Linked DNA regions of Oryzias latipes. The protein of the gene in region 1 interacts with the protein of each later gene in a pairwise test. Links are inferred from orthologs where the notes say so. Each region holds a gene or a part of one and is shown in the gene's direction. Other genes may lie near its edges.

Region 1 (9,002 bases):
TTAATTTCCAGCAATAATTTGTTTTTTACCACCAAAAAACGTAAATGCATGAAATAAGTAAACATTTTTTTATGAAAAAGATTTTTAACTATAAATTCCATGTCATTTTAGTTTAATAGTTCTTGTTTTACTGAAATCACTTCTTAATAATCTGTTCAATTTCCTCCTGAGAAAAGACTATTTTTTCAAAGCAGTCTTCTGAGTAATAACTAACCATGTTGTCCTTTTGCTCAGGTGTGGATCCCATCATTTGGGAACAGGCGAAGGTGGACAATCCTGACCCAGAGAAGTGCGTTGCTATTTAAAATGTCTGTTTGACTTGATAAAGGTAGTTCTAAAGGCAGACTGTTCAGGTTCTCATTTCCTAAACAGCTTCTTTGCTGTTGAACATTCTAAATTACTCTTCAGGTTGGACTCTTCTCAGTCCTCTTAACCCTCGTGCTATCTTAGATGACCCCAACCGTTGCATTGACGTGTTCTCCCTACCATGACAAAGGTGGATAAAGGTGGAAAGATTTCATGTAATCCATGGACACCAGTGAAGATCACAAATCATTGAAGAAAAAAGGTTCAGTGCACTCTCTTGTGGGGTCTAGATGACCCAACTGCCAATGTTAAAGTGCCTAGGATAGCACAAGGGTTACTGACAGCCGTAGTGAGACCCACTCTGAAGAGCAGTTGAGATGGTGGAAAGATTTCATGTAATCCATGGACACCAGTGAAGATCATAAATCATTGAAGAAAAAAGGTTCAGAGCACTCCCAACGTTAAAATGCTTAGGATATGGATTAATGTTAAAGTTAGATCATGGAGTTTGTTAAAAACATTTTTTTAATTAGCTGTATGCAGTTGAGATGTTCCAGCCAGGTTTGAAGTCATGATGGGTCAAAGATGGCATCAGTCAAGGGGTTGACCTCAGCACAGTTGATCACATGACTTGGATGGAGTTTGATTGGTTTGAATTTTATCTCACTGATAGACTTATTTATATTTGAGTCCTCTATAAGCCATGTGGTGCACCACAAGGTTCTTTTTAAGGTCCCAATTTTTTCATTTCATTTTTTCACTTTGAAATTAAAGTATGGATGCAGCTAAACCCGGGCAAAATGCAGAATTTAATCTTTGGTCCTGAGGCTGAGAGTGTCAAAAACGATCTTAAGCATCTAACAATAACATTTTGTGACTCCGTAAGAAACTACGCTGTTTTCAGCTCAGCGCTCCGCCAAAGCATGGGTCAAATGCAGACATAAAATGTCTACACCTCACTGCGTAACAGCTAATGGACTTTGATTTAAACATTGGGTTACTTTCACGCCTTTAAATCTTTCTTTCATTTTTTAATTCAAGTACTATTCCATGAGTTTATAAAGTTAAATGAAGCTACTCCTTTTTAGAGTTTGTAATATTCCAGTTTTAATCATAATTACAGTTTTGCATCTTTTTGCTACATTTTTCATCTAAATTAGTTTTACTTTATGAAATATAGATGACAGTGTTTAAAGTCCACCCACCTATTTTTAATTTTTTACTTTTTTGTGTGTGTATTTTATTGCATTTGGAGAAAGTAAAGTACTTTTAGAAATTTTGACATGAAAAGTGCTTCATAAAGTTAATAAAATGATGAGAGCGTGCCATAATCCAGAGGCAGAGCCGGGCCAATGGAAGACAGCTGCACAGACATTACATAAACGTAATTCTAACAGGTTCATTTTCTACTTTTTGGTCAGTTAAGAAGTAATTTCCAGACGTTCGTCTCTTCTTTCAGGTTATTCCCAGTGCCCATGGTTGGATTTAAAGAGCTGCTGCGCAGGTTGCAGATCCAGGAACAGATGACCAAACAGCACCAGACCAGAGTGGATGTGAGTGAGATGAAAAATAGTTTGTGGCTCTTGGTTGCCGTTTTAGAAGTACCGGTGCACAAAACCATCTGATATCAACGCAGGAATTCTGAAACTGTGGTCAAGGCCCGAGCGCAGATGTTCGCGCTCGCTGCCAACTGTTTGTTTTTTATTTTGAAGTTATTTTTACAAATACAGCTGCAGGTGTTTTCACCGGGGGGTTCAAAATTGACAATGTATTTCATAAAACGTGTACACACTAGCTTTAGAATAATGCTTTTAACTATTCAGTTAACCACCCTAAATATGGTGATTTTAAATGGAGTCATTATTTACAGATTAGTTTTGGATTGGAAGATAATCCAATATTATTATAAAAAGAAGTTTAATAATGTAATTCGAATCATTTAAAAACTGATACAACTTGGTGGAACAAAACTAGGACTGCACAATATGAGGAAAACTCATGATTTGTGATATTATTGATCAACATTGCGATGACGATATAATTTGCGATGCATGAAGAAATTGCGAAACAACTAAGTACAGAATTTCCATTTCACTGCTACAGTTTAATTTAAATAAGAGTCAACATAACTTAAATTATTCTTCCAATGACCCTCGTCTACATGGGAGGCAAACATCTAACTTAAAAGGGCTCCATGCGATTGGTTAATTATGTAAAGGAGTACTTCTGATTGGTCAAATGCAAAAAGGCATTTTATGATCCATTAAATTCTTCAAGCTGGCATGAGATTGTTGTAGCACATTTAAGGTAAATATTTATTGGAATTTTTGCCATCTTTTTTTATACGAATATTGCATAGCTTGACATCACTATAATGACAAATTTGCTATTTATTGTGCAGGTCTAAACAAAACAAATTATTATTATGCTTGAAGAAACTTTGAGAGGAACTCCAGGTGTGATGCTGGTAGTTTTTAGCATTAAGAACTATTAAAACGCAAAAAATCCAGTGCATTGTTGTTTGAAATTGCAGATTATATCGAATGACATCAGTGAACTGCAGAAGAACCAGGCTACAACCGTGGCCAAAATCGCTCAATACAAGAGGAAACTGATGGATCTGTCTCACAGGGTGCTGCAGGTAGCGTCCACATTTATCAGATTAGACTAAATTGTAATTACAGAGATGTCTGTATCAGACTGTCGGTATCAGTAATTCTTTTATTTAGAGCTTGTTAGAGTTTTTGTTTTTTTAAGTGCCTTAAAAGTTCTTTAGATCAAAAACCTCAGAGCTGGTTCTTTTCAACAGCTGATCTGCTCTGAGCTGCATTTTTGCAAGAATCGCCAGAAAGTCCAGACATTATCCTGCGAGGAAAAAAACAAAGATTTTTGAGAATATATTCAAAACATAAAAACTTGAGATGGACAAAGAAGAGTTGAGACAAGCTAGTAAAGACACTTGCTGTCAGTTTAAAAGATTTTCATACGAGGTATTTATCTCGCAAGTCCAAATCTGGGGTTATCTCGCCACCTTGACCAAACTGTTTTTGTGCACCTCCTGCCCAAGCTAATGCCGTATTCTATACACTTTCTGGCAATGTCAGGATCCTTTCATGATATAAAGACTTCTAATGGAGTATTACGTTGTAATAATGAGCCTGCAGCATATACCACTGATCATAAAAAGATTCAAATAAATATCCAATCCCTGTTTGGAATGCGAGTGGCGATTGTAAATGATCAGGCCCAATTTCCAATCATTTTCCTGATTTTTTTTCTATTAATACTGGAAATCACACTTTTGTTTGTTTGGGCAGTCCTATAATTTGACTTAAGAAAGGTGATGTTTTCTGATAAGAAACCGTAGCTATAAAAAAGTGCGTGGAAGGGGTTGAAAATGGATTTTTAAATGAGAGCCGCTGTTTGGACTTTTTGTTCACCTGCTGCAGAGACTGAATAATGAATCTTTCTTCAAGTCTGTAATCTTGCAGCTGTTGTTGATGATCAGGTGAAATCCCACTGAACTGGCGTTCCTGGCAAAATCTCCATAAAGCTGAGAGAAGTGTTTGTGTGGAGGCTCAGAGGCCCTCTGTCCTACATTCTTTCTCTCTGAAGGTTTTAATGTTGTCCGGTACTATTCTTCCAAGTAAACTGATGAATCCCATCTGTATATTCTATCACATTTGAATGTTTTGGCACTGCTTGCATTTATCTCCGCTCGGCAACACTGTCCTGTGTATCATTGCCATGTTTTCCTGGAAGGTTTTGATCAAACAGGAGATTCAAAGGAAAAGTGGCTACGCAATCCAAGTGGACGAGGAGCATCTCCGAGTGCAGCTGGACACCATTCAGTCCGAACTCAATGCCCCCACACAGTTCAAGGCAAGTCTCTGCAAACTGGAGCAGGAAGCTACTCTCACTGAAGGCTTTGGTCTGGAAGTAGACAAAATGGGTCTAAATTTGTAACTTTATAAAGCTGCATTTGACAATAGAAATAGCTATGTTGCCTCACTACTCCCTAACTACTAAAGGGCTATCTATGGTTCTGGAGTTAACATGCTTACTGCATTTTTTTGAACAGCAAACTTAATAACTATTGATATTTTACAAAGACTTTTTATGAATCCACTGTGTTCTGATGAGAAAAACTTTGAGGGTTTATACAAAATGAATGTAAAACACTTTTTTTTTTTAAATGAAAAATTGTTCAAATGCAGTTCATTGTGGTCGATATTCGCCAATCTAGTGAGCAGCGATGCACACTAGTTTCTCGGAGAGACTTCTTGGAAATTTCCAGGGCACTTGATTTTGGAATTGTAGATTCAAAAATCCCAAAAAATTGCACCAAGTGGTGAGTAGTGAGGGAATTTGGACACAACCCGTGTTATTAATCTTTGAATAATTTTAGTCCATCTTTGCGTATCTGCTGCTGTTTGGTGGTTTCGTGGACGTAGATGAGTCTAAATAGCTTAAAAAACAGCAATTATTTCATTTCTTAAGAAATAAGTCTTTGCCAATCTTTTTCGTTTTTGTAAAGTCTGTCATGTTTGTAAATCTAAAGTACTGTTGGAGATCAAACTGCCTTTGTGAAAACCCACCAATAACTGTTTCCCTCCTCTCATTAAGGGTCGGCTGAATGAATTAATGTCCCAAATCCGAATGCAGAACCACTTTGGAGCTGTGAGGTCAGAAGAGCGCTACAGTGTGGATGCAGACCTGCTCCGAGAAATCAAACAAGTGAGGGATCCTGTCACTCATTTGCTTGTACGACTGTCTATAATTTGTCGCTAAGCGTCTTCTTCTTTCCGTCATGCAGCACTTGAAGCAGCAGCAGGAAGGTCTGAGTCATCTGATCAGCGTCATTAAAGATGACCTGGAAGACATCAAATTAATAGAGCATGGGCTGAGCGACAGTGGACACATGAGAGGGGGCATCCTGAGCTGATTCCAACCTCTCAAAGCCTCTTCACACACTCTGACCCTTTATTTTGAAAAGCAGAACATCTTTCTTCCAGACCATTCTATTTTGCGATCTTCAGATTTGCTCGTTGCAGAAAAAAAATCCCGGGCTTTCCAATCAGTACAGCAAAACGACTGCGTAATCTGGATTGATACAGACAGCTCAATGGAATGATCAGTGTCTAATAATAGCCACGTCAATCAGATTATGCACATGTGACTGCCAGTGCTTTGTAAACAAAGAGGTGTTAAGTGTGTCAAGATGTAAATACATCTTTGTATTTTTTTTAACTATTAGAATACTAATAAATTTAAATTCTAAACCTTTAATGGTCTGTTTTTGTAGTAACTAGATGCTGTAATATGAACTAAATGTTTATCTACTTCCTTGCATTTCTGCTTACCTTATATTTAAACTATGGTACACCTGACACCATTGTTTACCTGCAGACTTCCACTTTTCTATATCTCATCAAAGCAGGGCTTGAGTTGATAGGATTTACATTTAGGCTTTGCATCCCTGCAGGGATGAAAAGACTGATTGGCAGCTGGACTGGTTAGGCAGCTTTCAAGCAGATTAGAACCCCCACATGTAGTCGGGTCACCCATGCATCTTAAGGGTTTGCACCACAGTCGGTTTGCAGGTTTTACCAACCAGAGACGTGGGAGGAAATGCAGAATTTAATACAATAACGAAACCCAATTTATTCAGTTAGTCTGCACAATATTGAGAAATTTTTAAAAATGGAGATTTTTATTGGTTTTTGTCAAAACATATACAGTGATTTTTGTTTTTAGTTTTTTCTAATAAATCTTTTTTTTATGTAAAGCGATTTTCCCTTTTCATCCTGTTGACTTAAAACTATCAGGCACTTAATTTTCAATCAAATGTATTAATAAAAAGCAAATCTGAAAGACAGAGTTTAGCCACTGCAAAAAGGTTCACTTACTAGAACAGTTTTTAAAGCTCCATTTAACTGATTAATTCAGTTTTTCTTATTCTAGAACAACAAAGGTTCTTATGCAACATGACTTTTTTTTTTCAAGGCCACCAAAGAAGCTTGAGTGTGTTGAATTACCCGATTAAAACGAATGACACAATTAATTGCTTGAACACAAAAGGTTTATTTCTTGTTTATTAAGAAAACAAATGTTCACTCAGATGAGATTTTAAAAAAATAAAGATGGTAAAAAATAACAACTTTGAGGTAGAAAACATCTAGATAACACCAGATCCACTTACTTAATCTACTAATGTTCTATAGATGGATCCTTATAATCCAGTCTGCAGTTCAGTGCTGCTCCCGTTTCAGGCGTTCAGCTGTGTGCAGACAGGTCCACCAACCGGAAGGCCTCCATGAACTCGTTGATGTCAATGCTGCCGTCCTTGTTGAAGTCGATGCTGTGAGCCAGGTCGGCGATTGCTTTGTCGCTGATCTCCATCTTGAGATGAGAACTCAGGAGCTTCCAAGTCTGACGAAACTCCTCCAAAGAGATCAAACCTGGAGGAGAGTGGTACACCGAGTGCCGTTTGGCTTGTCACAGCCTGAAGTGTGGGCAGATCAGCCTTGAAAATAAGTGTCGTGTCGCTGTCCCTCACCTGAGTGATCCGTGTCGATGATGCGGAAGATGGTTTCCAAATTGGAGTGGTTTTTGTACATGGTTTCCAGGATACTGGTGTCTGAAACCTGCAAACGGGATCAAATGTATGGTTTTTCTGCAACACTATAAGAAGAATGATCTACCGGCACACTGAATTTGAATAAAACGGAAGTATATTTGAAATTCCTCTATCACAATTGTTGTTTTCACTTGAACGTTTTTTCTCTTTTGTGTAGCTCCTTTAAGCAATATCAGTGGTGAACCTTAAAAACACCTAAACTGAATTAAATTAAAAAATAAATATAATAATAAAACACCTCTAGTTTGGGCTCAGTGATGGACAACTCCTTTATCCACTGCTGGTAATCCACCATGCCATAGTGGGTTCTGCTGACAAGCTGAGAGCGCAGCACCCTCCAGGGCAAACCCAGCTTCAGCACGCTCTCTGTAGCACTCGCCCAGTGTCTCATCGAGATCTTCCCTAAGGTCAAACGTGAAGACACAGGAGAGCAAGTAAAACCTGGTGAGTGGTCGGTTTGAGTCAAAGGGACTAAGGAGGCCCAAAGGGGCCATTTGTGGCTGTACCTGTTTGATGAGGATCGAACTCCTGGTAAGCCCTGATGAGATCTGATTTGTGCACAAACAGCTGCTCTCTCAAAGCTCTCAGGGCTGATCTCTCCGTCCAACCCACACTGGCAAAAAAAAAGATATTGTAATTTAGCCTCAATCTGAAATGTTTTTAAATGTCACATTGATTTTATTGATTTATTGTGCAAAAATGTTTAACATGTGGCTTTATTTGTCGAACAGCAACTCGTGTGTGTACCTCTGTCTCAGGGTGAGTTCTCTGCACGTCCTGCTGGCCTGGTACTGAATGAGGTGCGGAACCAGATCAGCTCCCATTCTGATGTAAGCCCCTCTGTTACTGCCCACTTCATAATAGTTGGAGGCTGAAAATATTGTGAGCACCTGCATGAGAAAGAAGAAACAGAGTATCATGACTGCTAACTCTGACCTCCATACTTTCCTCCCATAAGTGTCCTCTTTGTGCTCACCCTGCGGTTGTGGCAGAACTCGTAGCCATCCTGTTTGCACTCGTGGGAACGGATGAGAAGCTGCAGGTTGTGTCTTCCCAGCACCTCCTCTGTAACATCAGGGCCCCAGTAGCAGCCCCCACCTCGCACCTCATTGGAAATGCATCCGTTTTGGGGCATGGGATCACTCCACAACAGGTTCACTATCTGAGTGAAAGTTTTAGACCTTGAATCGAGTGATGGTATGCAGGTTGACATTTCTTTATTAGAAAAACTGAATACGTAGAAAAAGTTAGTTAAAGTCTGCTTATCAAGAAAATCTCATTTTTTTACGACAATACTGCAAAAAGAAACTTCTAGGAACATTTTCCATTAGATCCTGGTTTGTCATCTGTTGTGCTACAACACCTGCACAAATTAGACTCATAAAAAGACAATACACTAAAAAGACTATAAGGTAAAAAGACCTTTGTTTAAAAGAAATGTCTTATTTTTGCAAGAAGATAACCTTATCAAGAAAGTATTTCCATTGCAAAATAGTCTTAGTTTAAGAAAACACGTCTTAGAGACTAGAGGTGTTGTTCTTAAAGTAAAAATTTTTTACCCCACTGGAACATTTTTTTTTTGCCCATTCAAAGAACATTTTCAAACTTGATGAATTTGTGAGGTCATGGAACCGTAATTACCGTAATTATAACACATCACAACCAATATCACAGACAGAGAACAAAACAATCATATGAATATCTAACAGCCTCAGCAGGGTTTGCACGCAAGGAGAACCAACAACTTCTTCACAGGAGATAGCTTGTTGATGTGGCTACCTTTTGCCCAATAAATAGCCTTCTTCAACAATAACTTTAGTGTCATCATATCATTTTGAAAGATAAGAAAAAGCTTGATAATTGTTGCTACCTAAAATGGACTTTAAGAATGAAGTACGTTAAAAAATAAATATGAATGAAACAAGGTGCAATTTTCCTAATGACCACTAGGAACTTGTTAAAAATCTAGTCTGTCCTCAGTTTTGCAACAGCTTTACTCTGTTTTTTTCAACAAATATTTCTATATTTTGCTTTAGGGAAAGGCTTGGATTTGGCA
Region 2 (9,517 bases), on another chromosome or scaffold:
ACTAACTAGTCTGACAATAAGCCTGTCCAAAGAGGAATGTTTTCAGTCTAACTTTGAATGTAGAAACTGAGTTGGCCTCTCTTACATGAACTGGGAACTCATTCCATAAAACAGGGGCTTGGTAGCTAAACGCTCCACCTCCAACTGTACTTTTACTAATTCTAGGAACCACAAGCAGTCCTGCATTTTGCGAGCAAAGTGTACTGTTTGGGTGGTAAGGGACTATGAGGTCCTTAATATAGGACGGGGCCATTCCATGTAAGGTCTTATAGGTTAATAGGAGGATCTTGAACTTGATTCTAGAATCAACTGGGAGCCAATGGAGCGAAACCAACACAGGAGTGATGTGATCTCTTCTGCTAGTTCCTGCTAACAATCTAGCTGCTGCGTTCTGAACAAGCTGGAGACTTCTTAAGGAACTCTTAGGACACGCTGCTAACGAGGAGTTACAGTAATCTAGCCTCGACGTAACAAATGCATGGATGAGTTTTTCAGCATCACTCTTAGAAAGTATATTTCTGATCTTAGCTATATTTTGCAGGTGAAAAAAGGCAGTTCTACACGCCTGAGATATGTTAGCCTTAAATTATAAATCCTGGTCAAATAAAACCCCAAGGTTTCTAACTGTGGAATTGGGGGCTATACTTACACCATCCAGGGAGACTATCTGAGCAGACAGAGTATCTCTGAGGTTTTTAGGACCAAGTATAATGACCTCAGTTTTTTCTGGGTTCAAGAGGAGGTAATTAATTGTCATCCAGGTCTTGATGTCTCTGATGCAGGCATTCAGTTTTCATGGTTTTCAGGTTTCATGGATAAATACAACTGCATATCGTCGGCATAACAATGAAAATGAATGCTGTGTTTCCTGATTATGTTTCCTAGGGGTAGCATATAAAGCGTTAACAGGAAGGGTCATAAGACTGAGCCCTGTGGGACTCCATAGGACCTGTGGGACTCGAGTGCACTGAGAGGAATGGCCATTTACATTAACGAACTGATACCTATCGGACAGATAGGATTTAAACCAGTGGAGAGCAGATCCTCTGATCCCTATGTCCTGCTCTAATCTATGGAGTAAAATACCGTGGACGATAGTGTCAAAGGCTGCACTGAGGTCTAACAGGACCAAAATAGAAAGTAGTCCCTTTTCTGAGGCCAATAACAAGTCATTAGAGACTCTAACTAGTGCAGTTTGCGTGCTGTGGTGGGGTCTAAACCCCGACTGAAAGTCTTAAAAGTGGCTGTTGTCCTGTAGGTGGCAGTAAAGCTGGTTAACTACAACTCTTTCTAGGATTTTAGAAATAAAGGGGAGGTTTGATATTGGTCTATAGTTGGCCAAGTTGTTAGGATCTAAACTGGGCTTTTTCAGAAGAGGTTTAACAACTGCATATTTAAAAGACTGTGGCACGTAACCCGTTTCCAGAGAGGTATTTATCATTGTTAATATGGAATCTTTAATTAGGGGAAAAGTTTATTTAAAAAGTCTAGTGGGAATTGGGTCTAACAGACAAGTTGACCTAAGGATCAGCTTTGATTCTTCTTGTTTGCTGTGGTGATGGACAGACTGACAGAGGATGTTAAACGGGTATCTCTGTGGGCCATGGTGTTTGCAGGTGACCTGTGGATCTGTAGTGAGAGCAGGAAGCAGATGGAGAACCATTTTTAGAGTTTCACAATATTAGAGTTTTAAATTGAAATAAACATCTGTTTAAGCGGTTTCATAATGTTGGACAGATATCTATATCCCTTCAGTTGTTCGCGAGGACTTTAACACAGAAGTTCTGTTCATAAACTTCCAAGTAGATAATATATTAAATTGCAGACAAATTATGTTATTCTGTTGTTTTATGCCAATAACGTGTCTGGGGATTGATTGCTCTCCTACCCCAGTTCTGCGTAAAACTCATGTTATTGTCAGTTCTGGTGCCATATAGACACTGTGTCTCTGGGTCTCTAACATGCAGTTTGTATTCATTTTATTGTGACATTCTTGGGTCATTATATTAAAGATCTGATATTAAATTTTGTCTTGTCAAACCAAATTTCAAGGAGATACTTGAATTTACCTGCCAACAAGACTGACCTTTTTGTTGTCATGTTTGGAAGTTTGACATCCAACTTGTCTTTTTTGCAAACATCACAACCATGTTGTTCTTGGGTCCAGGAAATGGTGCCGCAATGAGAACTGCATGGGAACAGCAACAAAACAATCACAGCAACCAACTACATTTTCCTTTTGTCATCTATCTTTTGGAATTGAAATAAGTGGTGTGATGTGATAACTCCTGTTACTCATTTTAAGTGGTGTGACTGATGTCTTGTTGACACGGTGGGGTGCTATAGTCAGGCTTGTGAGGTGCAGATCTGACCTCAGGTGGCGTCCAAATATTGGTTGGACAGAGACACTTAAACCTTTATTCTTTAAGTAAATAAGACACAAAAACTGAATGATATATGAAAGACTTGCTGTCACATAATTCCAGCACAATTATTAATCTCTCTTCCGTGATCAATTTTTAAACTGTAGGAACTTCTGTAAATTGGAAAGGATGCCATCTATACATCACTACCAAAAGTAGATCCCTGAGTGGTCAAAGTTCAACTGGTTTAACTTTCAACGCAAGTCCAATGGCCACATGTTTTGTACGTAGAGCCCAAAAATGGTCTTAAAATGTGCGTAGCTACGTGTGAACGCGAGAGTTTTGACCAAGGAAGCCTGAAATGCACATTCCATATGCAGTACATATATGTAAACAAGTCTACAGACGCGTCTGGACTTTTCATTGAAAGTGCTTGAAGGTACGTTGCTGAGGGTGGTGTGAAGGTATATTTATACATTCATAGTTCAAATGTGGAAAACAGAGGTACCGGGACCAGCAGGCCTTTGTACTTCTCATAGTAATGCATCTCCAAAGGAAGCGGTTAGGCAGAGATTTTTACACCGGATGCCCTTATTGATACAAGCCTATACATAGATAGGAAGTAGCAAAGAGGGTCTAGCACTCATCCAAGAGTTTTTCCCAAGGATCCAAGGACTGGATGAAGCTCTTCGCCCCCCCCCCCCCCCCCCCCCCCCCCCCCCCCCCCTGGTTTCCCAGGTGCCAGTGCTGCATGCAGGCAACTGAGCCATCCCTCCTATACAGAGACGGAGAGCTATATCTGGGTGGAGGTTTAGTGAAGGTAGTGGAAGTCCATGTGGGTGATTATGTACCTGGAGGAGTTTAGAGGCTGGGTACTTCAGCTTTTAGGCAACAGTGCCAATAAAGTCCAGGTAAGAACAAACCAGGTAAATCGTCCACCAATCCACACCATGAGATAATCCAGTGCAGAGCAGTAATAACAATAAAAACAAAAAATCTAACAGTGAGCAGCAGCTACAAGACATATCAGGATGAAAGCTTCCTGATCTATCTGAGAAGCCTCCAACTACATTGACATGAACCTGAGCCAGCTTCACAATCCGCCTCAGCTGAGCATGTTTGTAGCTATTAACAACTCCAGCAGCACTCAGTAGTTCTCCGATTCCCCCCCCCCCCCCCCAGCCATAAAACTCCTCCATGTTTTCCATGAAAGGCCTAATTAACAAATGCATAATTTTTTTTTCTATCTCCTGCAGTGGAAGTCTCAGAGAAGAACTAGGGGATGAACAGATACAGGATGAAAGGTTTTGACGGAAAGGTGTAATATCTGAGTAATGCTGCAAAAAGGGGACTTTTGGGACAGTGTTCTTTAATAAAGCGTTTAAATGATACTGATAGTTGTTGATCTGATTTTCTAGTTTTTTCCTGCTTAAGAAAGTTTTTTATGCAGGAAAACATACTCTGAATGGGATATATTTTTTCTTTAGTGTTTGTATTAGTTTTAAATTTAACACAGCCCATAAACACCTTGATAAAAATCTACGATTTTAAGGTATGTACTACTGATGAAAGCATGTGTGCATCCTCTTTGTATGTTACACTTGTATTGATTTTGTGTCATATCTTGCATGTGACAAATTTGCAATTGGTCAAGAAGGGGAAAAGAGAGATGTCAGTTGTGCATTTTTTCCAAAAAAAAACATAAAACAGTATTCCATGCTTTCATTACATCCCCGTTGGATCACTGTAACAATGTATCTCAGGCAGATGGGCTCCCCTCTGGCGCCTCCAGCTGGTCTAGATAGCTGCTGCTCATTTCCACTTGAAGTTTCAGTGAAGCCACATCATCCATGTCTGTACATTTTAAAGTGTTCTTATGAGTGAACGAAAATGTCTTTTAAAAAATGTCTTATCATCTCAATTCATAAAGAACTAGTTGGTTCTTTGAGCTTATCTCTTCATCCAGTCATGACGTTTGAACTTGCGAAAGGAACCAGACTTGTCTAAACTTCTACCGCTGGGTGGGTCTACCTACTGGGGTGTTTAGCCTAACCTGGTTTAACTATGAGGATGAACCTGATGATTGCACGCGCACATGGTGGCTTTAAAACTGACTGTAAATTGATTCTTGTTTTTAAATGAACGATAATATCAGAAACACGTGAAAAAGACTTCTCGAGAATGTGTACCACCAGAGGTCGGCGGTAAGCTAGTGCGCACGCGTAGTGGCGCTTTGTGCGGTTGCCTTGGTAGCAGGAGGAGGAAGAGGCGGAACGTCTTAGTAGGACCCCTTATGAGGAGGACCGGAGCCGTGCAGAGTAACGTCAGGGGTTTATTAAGGTGAGTGTCCGTTTCCACAACCAAAGTTTAGTTTACTATTCTTTACGAATGGTTAACGGAGGCTAACAGCTGTTAATTTGTCATCTCCTACGTATTAGCTCGTTAGCTGTTAGCCGCAAAAAATCGAAGAGGGGAAAAAAAGATGGTTGAGAGGTTCATACAACGTGTACAAACACTTCTGCCAAAGTCTGAGACTGTGGAGCTCCAAGTTTAGAGGCATTTTTTGAGGTCGCCGGGACAGAAAAACTCAACGTTCTTGTTTACTCAGATCTAGTCTGAGTTTGTTGCTTATTTATTCATTTATTTTTGACGTATTTTCTTACTGTAGTGTAGAAAATCGATGCTTGTGACGTCACCCATAGATTTTTTTTTAAAGAAAACTTTATTATCTAAAATACACAAACAATGTGTGCAGATTAGTCACCAAAACAATTCTTGTGGCATGGATTACAGCTTTGAACGGCGCGATAATCATTTAACGTGGTTAAAAACATGAAGGGGGGTTGTTTAGGTGTAAATGTAGAAATTAAAATAAATAATCTTCATTCATTGAATTGGTGCTAAATGGACTAAGATTCACAATAAAGATGAAAACAATTTGTACAGTAACACTACCCCCCCCCCCCCCCCCCGAAACCAGGAAGTACCCAACACTGCAGTGCTATGAAAGACCGCTGGAGGCAGCATTTCACTAATTTTAATGTTTAAAAGTCTAGCCCAGCTCAAAAACTAAACAATGTATATTTTGTTTCTGACGCTTTTTGGATGTAGAGAGGGTATAACAGAGCCACACAATTACGCAAACTGCCACAAACACTTCATTATTATTGTTATTATTATTATTAATCAGATTAATCCATCCTGAACTCATCTGTTCAGGGGGGATGGAGGTTGGACTGCACCAAGGATCAGCTTTAATCCTTTTTGTTTGCTGTAGTGCTAGACAGACTGACAGAAGGACTGACAGGAATCTCTGTGGAGCGTGATGTCTGCAGATGACCTGTGGATCTGTAGTGAGCGCAGGGAGCAGAAGGAGGAACACTTTAGAGAGGTAAAGGTTTGTTCAGGAAAGGAGAGGAATGAAGGTTAGCTCCAGAAAGACTGAATGTGTAAATGAGAGGAACTAAAGAGGAACGGTGAGGTTACAGGGAGCAGAGGAGAAGAAGGTGGAGGACTTTAAATACATAGCTCAGAGGTGAAGAGGCGTGTGGAAGCAAATTGGAATGGGTGTAATTTGTGTGTTATTTTTATTTGCTAAAACGTTATTTTTGTAAAAGCTTTTAAGCGCAATTTTAGAGTTTTGAATTTAAATAAACATCTGTTTATGCGGTTTCGGAATGTTGGACAGACATCTTCATTCCTCCATTTGTTTCTGAAAACTTTTAACACTGACTGAAGGTCTGTTCATAAGCTTCCAAGTACATAATACTATGGTAAATTATATTATTTTGTCCTACTGGACTGGACTAAAGTAATGCAGTTGCGGAATTTATCTGTTGTGTTAAAGAAATAGACAAGCCAAAATGCAAAGCTTTCAAATTACTTCTCAATCTTTGTCCTGTAAGGCAGTAATTGTATCTTTCTAAACTCCTGCTGGTTGTTAACAGTCCATAACTGGACTTGTGGCTGACGCTAGACATCACTGGACTGTATCAGCATGTTTGGTAACTCTGGTACGGTCAGTAAAGTATTATGGTGAATGGAAGAAACGGTAAGCATCAGTCCCAAGTCCTTCAGTGTCCGTTACATCCAAAAGGATAAAGTCAAATCTAGCCTACATACATTCATCCATATGTGAAACAACTCTTTATAATAATTTTTTCATTTTAAAAGATGTTTTTTTTCTTTTTAGACTTTATAAAGAGTGTTTATCATTGTGGATCAAACTCCTGCGTCTGTCAGGTGGTTAAACTGGTGCTGAGTGTTTGAGGAGTTTTGGAAATAACACAATATTTGACCCACAGGAGACTCCATGGCTAAAGATCCGTTGGCTGAAGCTGGCTTCCACTTTGACGAGGTAAACAAGCTGCGGGTTCTAGAGCCAGATGTGAGCCAGAGCACGGCGGAGCTGAAGGAGGAGTGCAGAGAGTTTGTGGACAGTAAGAATCCACGGATCTGTTGTCCACCCCGTCCCACCCAAAGCTCCTATAGGTCTGTGTCTCTGCAGAGATCGGACAATTCCAGAAGATTGTGGGCGGTCTCATCAGCACAGTGGACGGGTTGGCCAAGGAGGCGGAGACTGAAAAGATGAAGGTGAGGCTCCCCTCTTCTCAGGTTAGGTCAAAACCTACAGTTCATCAGTGTTGGCAGTTATAGTTACCCAGTACTTAATCCTATAAGTAATAGATTTAACCAGTTGAATTATTCTATAATAAAAGTAACCAATTTTAGCAGGAAAAAACTATTTACTTCACATTAAAGAAAAACTGTTTTTTGTAGATTTTTTGGACCAGTTTTAACAATTCAATTGGAATGAGTAAAATAGACCCAAACTTTTATTTAACATTATTTACATTGGAGGAACTCCAACACCTTCTGGTAAGCTGCCCAGTTTCCTCCTGACAGACATGTTGTGGTGGAAAAGCTGCTGGAGCTGCGTTTGATTTACTGTTTTTAGTTTATGTCAAACATTCAGTAACCCGATCAAACAAAAACTGCTCCTCATTGGCTGATATCACTTCCTGCAGGCCATTGGAGCCAGGAACCTTCTGACATCTGTGGCGAAGCAGAGGGAGGAGCATCAGCAGCTGCTAAAGGGTCTTATTGCTGAGAAGAAGATGCAGCTGGAGAGGTACCCCACCCCCCCCACCCCTCTAAATCCTGCAGGAGTGGCGTCCATGCTCCCTGCTAACAGCTGCTACTTTCTTTAAGGTACCGGGTGGAGTACGAAGCCCTTTCCCGGGTAGAGGCGGAGCAGAGCGAGTTCATCAACCAATTCATCCTGCAAAAGTGAGGCGGGACTCACCTGTCTGAGGCTGCTGCCTACAGCTTAAGCCACCCTGCTGTGGGGTCGGGGTGGTGGTGGTGGGAGGCTCCAGGACACCTTCCTGTTTGTCCCACATGTGTTGTCACACTGTGACCCCTCCACCCCCTTGCTCAGAGAGCACACACTCATCAAGGCGGCTGGTTTGTTTCCCGCTACACAAGATCCTGACATGGACATGAACTGAAACTCAAACCTGGGTCGGACTCAGCAGGTGCTGTTTACATCTGTGCATGGGAGGGTGGAGCGGGCGCTGAGTAACTGAGATGTACAATAAAGTTTTCATGTTCAAATGAGATCTGTTTCCTTCAGAGACACGATGAATATATAAACAATTCAAACACTATAAGTAGCAAAAACAACATTCCTCCCCTGAAAGAAAAAAAAAAAGGAAAACATCAAAAACCTTTTTGGCACTAAGCTGGACCTTTATTTTTTAGTAAAAAATCATGGAGTCATCCTGAAACCTGCTGATCTTTTGAGCCGCTGCAACATTGAGGACTTCCCAAGCTTTGTCACATTTGGAAACAGAGGGTGAGGGTAGCACGGTCACTTCCCCTGGCAGTACTGTAAAGGAAAGCAGGTTCATTTGACTGCACTACATACTGCATTAAACTACAGCTCCCATGATCCTTACCTTCTCCAGGATCCAGTCTGCATCTGCCACAGCCCGGTTTATCATGAGGAGGATCCTTTCTGGGTCTTTTTCATCAGAATGGCTGTTGTAGCTCTGCAGAGGACAAAGAGCAAACTATCACTAACTCATTGGTGGAGAGGTAGTGTCTGCCCTGAGACTGAAAGATGGTAGTGTACCCATTTCCCCAACAGAGGGTTCAAATCCAAAGTACAATTGTTTACATTTAACCTGAGTAAAGATGAGCGCTCACCTGTCTGATGGCGTGCCTGTAGTGCTGTTGCATGGCGGCGGATGGCAGCTGCCTGCAGCACCTCAGCAGGTACCTGTACAGCTGCACAGATGTCTGGATGAGCTCTGCTCCAGGTAAGGGGGGCATCTTACCTCTGAGCTTCCTGGTTTTGAGGCTGAGTGGTAGGAGCCAAAAAACGTAATAGAGGTTGGAGCTAAGATTAAGAAAACCCAAAGGATGTTGATGGAGCTAGTTGGTGTGATGAGGAGAGGGCTTGATGGAGGCCGAAGACCCGTGAATCTCCTGACTCTTTTAATTCCTGATAATTACGGGTTTTTTCTCAAGGAAATTCTCTCCCAACGTTTGTCTTCTGGTGTTTTAAATAAAGGTTTTGAAAAAAAGGTTGGTTTGGGGTTAGGACGTACGTAGGTCGCCAGCGAAAACGGTATCACTCTATCACTCACCACAGCGACCGATCACGCAACGTGGACAACGTCACGCATCCGCACAGACCTGAAGAAGACGTAGCCGATGCAAAAAAAAAAAGACGTAGCCGATGCTACTTAATCTGACGGGAAAAAAAACATCTGTCGGTTGTTTACGCTGGGAGCACAATGCGCATGCGCAAATAGTACACTTAATACTATTTCTTTGTTTTACGTCGCTTGGCAAACAAAAGAATAGCACATTACCGCCACCACCTGGTCTGGAAGGTGGGTCGAGGGCTTTATCATGTCAATAGATTTGACATGTCCTACTCAGGGCATTTTATGTTTGTCCCATCAGGCGTGTACTGCTTAAAAATTTGATCAAATATATATTACTAGTTTTTTTAAATTTCATATTCAATGGAATTTTCATTTATTGAATCTGTTTTTAGTGTGTCTTTATGCTTTGCATAATATTTACATTTCAATATTACATCCTCCATAGTGGCCCTGTGACAGACTGGCGACCTGTCCAGG

The links.
Region 2: the proteins of nup54 (region 1) and ift20 interact in binary tests that used the Homo sapiens proteins (3 or more experiments, as listed by UniProt). The two-hybrid records come from large-scale screens. The link is inferred for Oryzias latipes from reciprocal best matches to the Homo sapiens genes NUP54 and IFT20.

What each region holds. Positions count from the first base shown.
Region 1 is NC_019870.2:10,473,684-10,482,685, reverse strand, and holds the end of nup54 (nucleoporin p54), read left to right. Parts: intron 1-234; coding exon 235-289; intron 290-1,765; coding exon 1,766-1,859; intron 1,860-2,839; coding exon 2,840-2,947; intron 2,948-4,068; coding exon 4,069-4,188; intron 4,189-4,932; coding exon 4,933-5,043; intron 5,044-5,122; coding exon 5,123-5,251; 3' UTR 5,252-5,595; downstream 5,596-9,002. Other genes in the region: serine/threonine-protein phosphatase with EF-hands 2, read right to left, coding at 6,583-6,767, 6,866-6,953, 7,185-7,348, 7,453-7,559, 7,694-7,836, 7,923-8,108. UniProt on the Homo sapiens protein: Component of the nuclear pore complex, a complex required for the trafficking across the nuclear membrane.
Region 2 is NC_019871.2:17,863,958-17,873,474, forward strand, and holds ift20 (intraflagellar transport protein 20 homolog), read left to right. Parts: upstream 1-4,570; 5' UTR 4,571-4,703; intron 4,704-5,640; exon of another isoform or gene 5,641-5,754; intron 5,755-6,667; 5' UTR 6,668-6,675; coding exon 6,676-6,802; intron 6,803-6,870; coding exon 6,871-6,956; intron 6,957-7,390; coding exon 7,391-7,494; intron 7,495-7,574; coding exon 7,575-7,656; 3' UTR 7,657-7,982; downstream 7,983-9,517. Other genes in the region: lyrm9 (LYR motif-containing protein 9), read right to left, coding at 8,236-8,253, 8,324-8,416, 8,574-8,699. UniProt on the Homo sapiens protein: Part of intraflagellar transport (IFT) particles involved in ciliary process assembly. May play a role in the trafficking of ciliary membrane proteins from the Golgi complex to the cilium.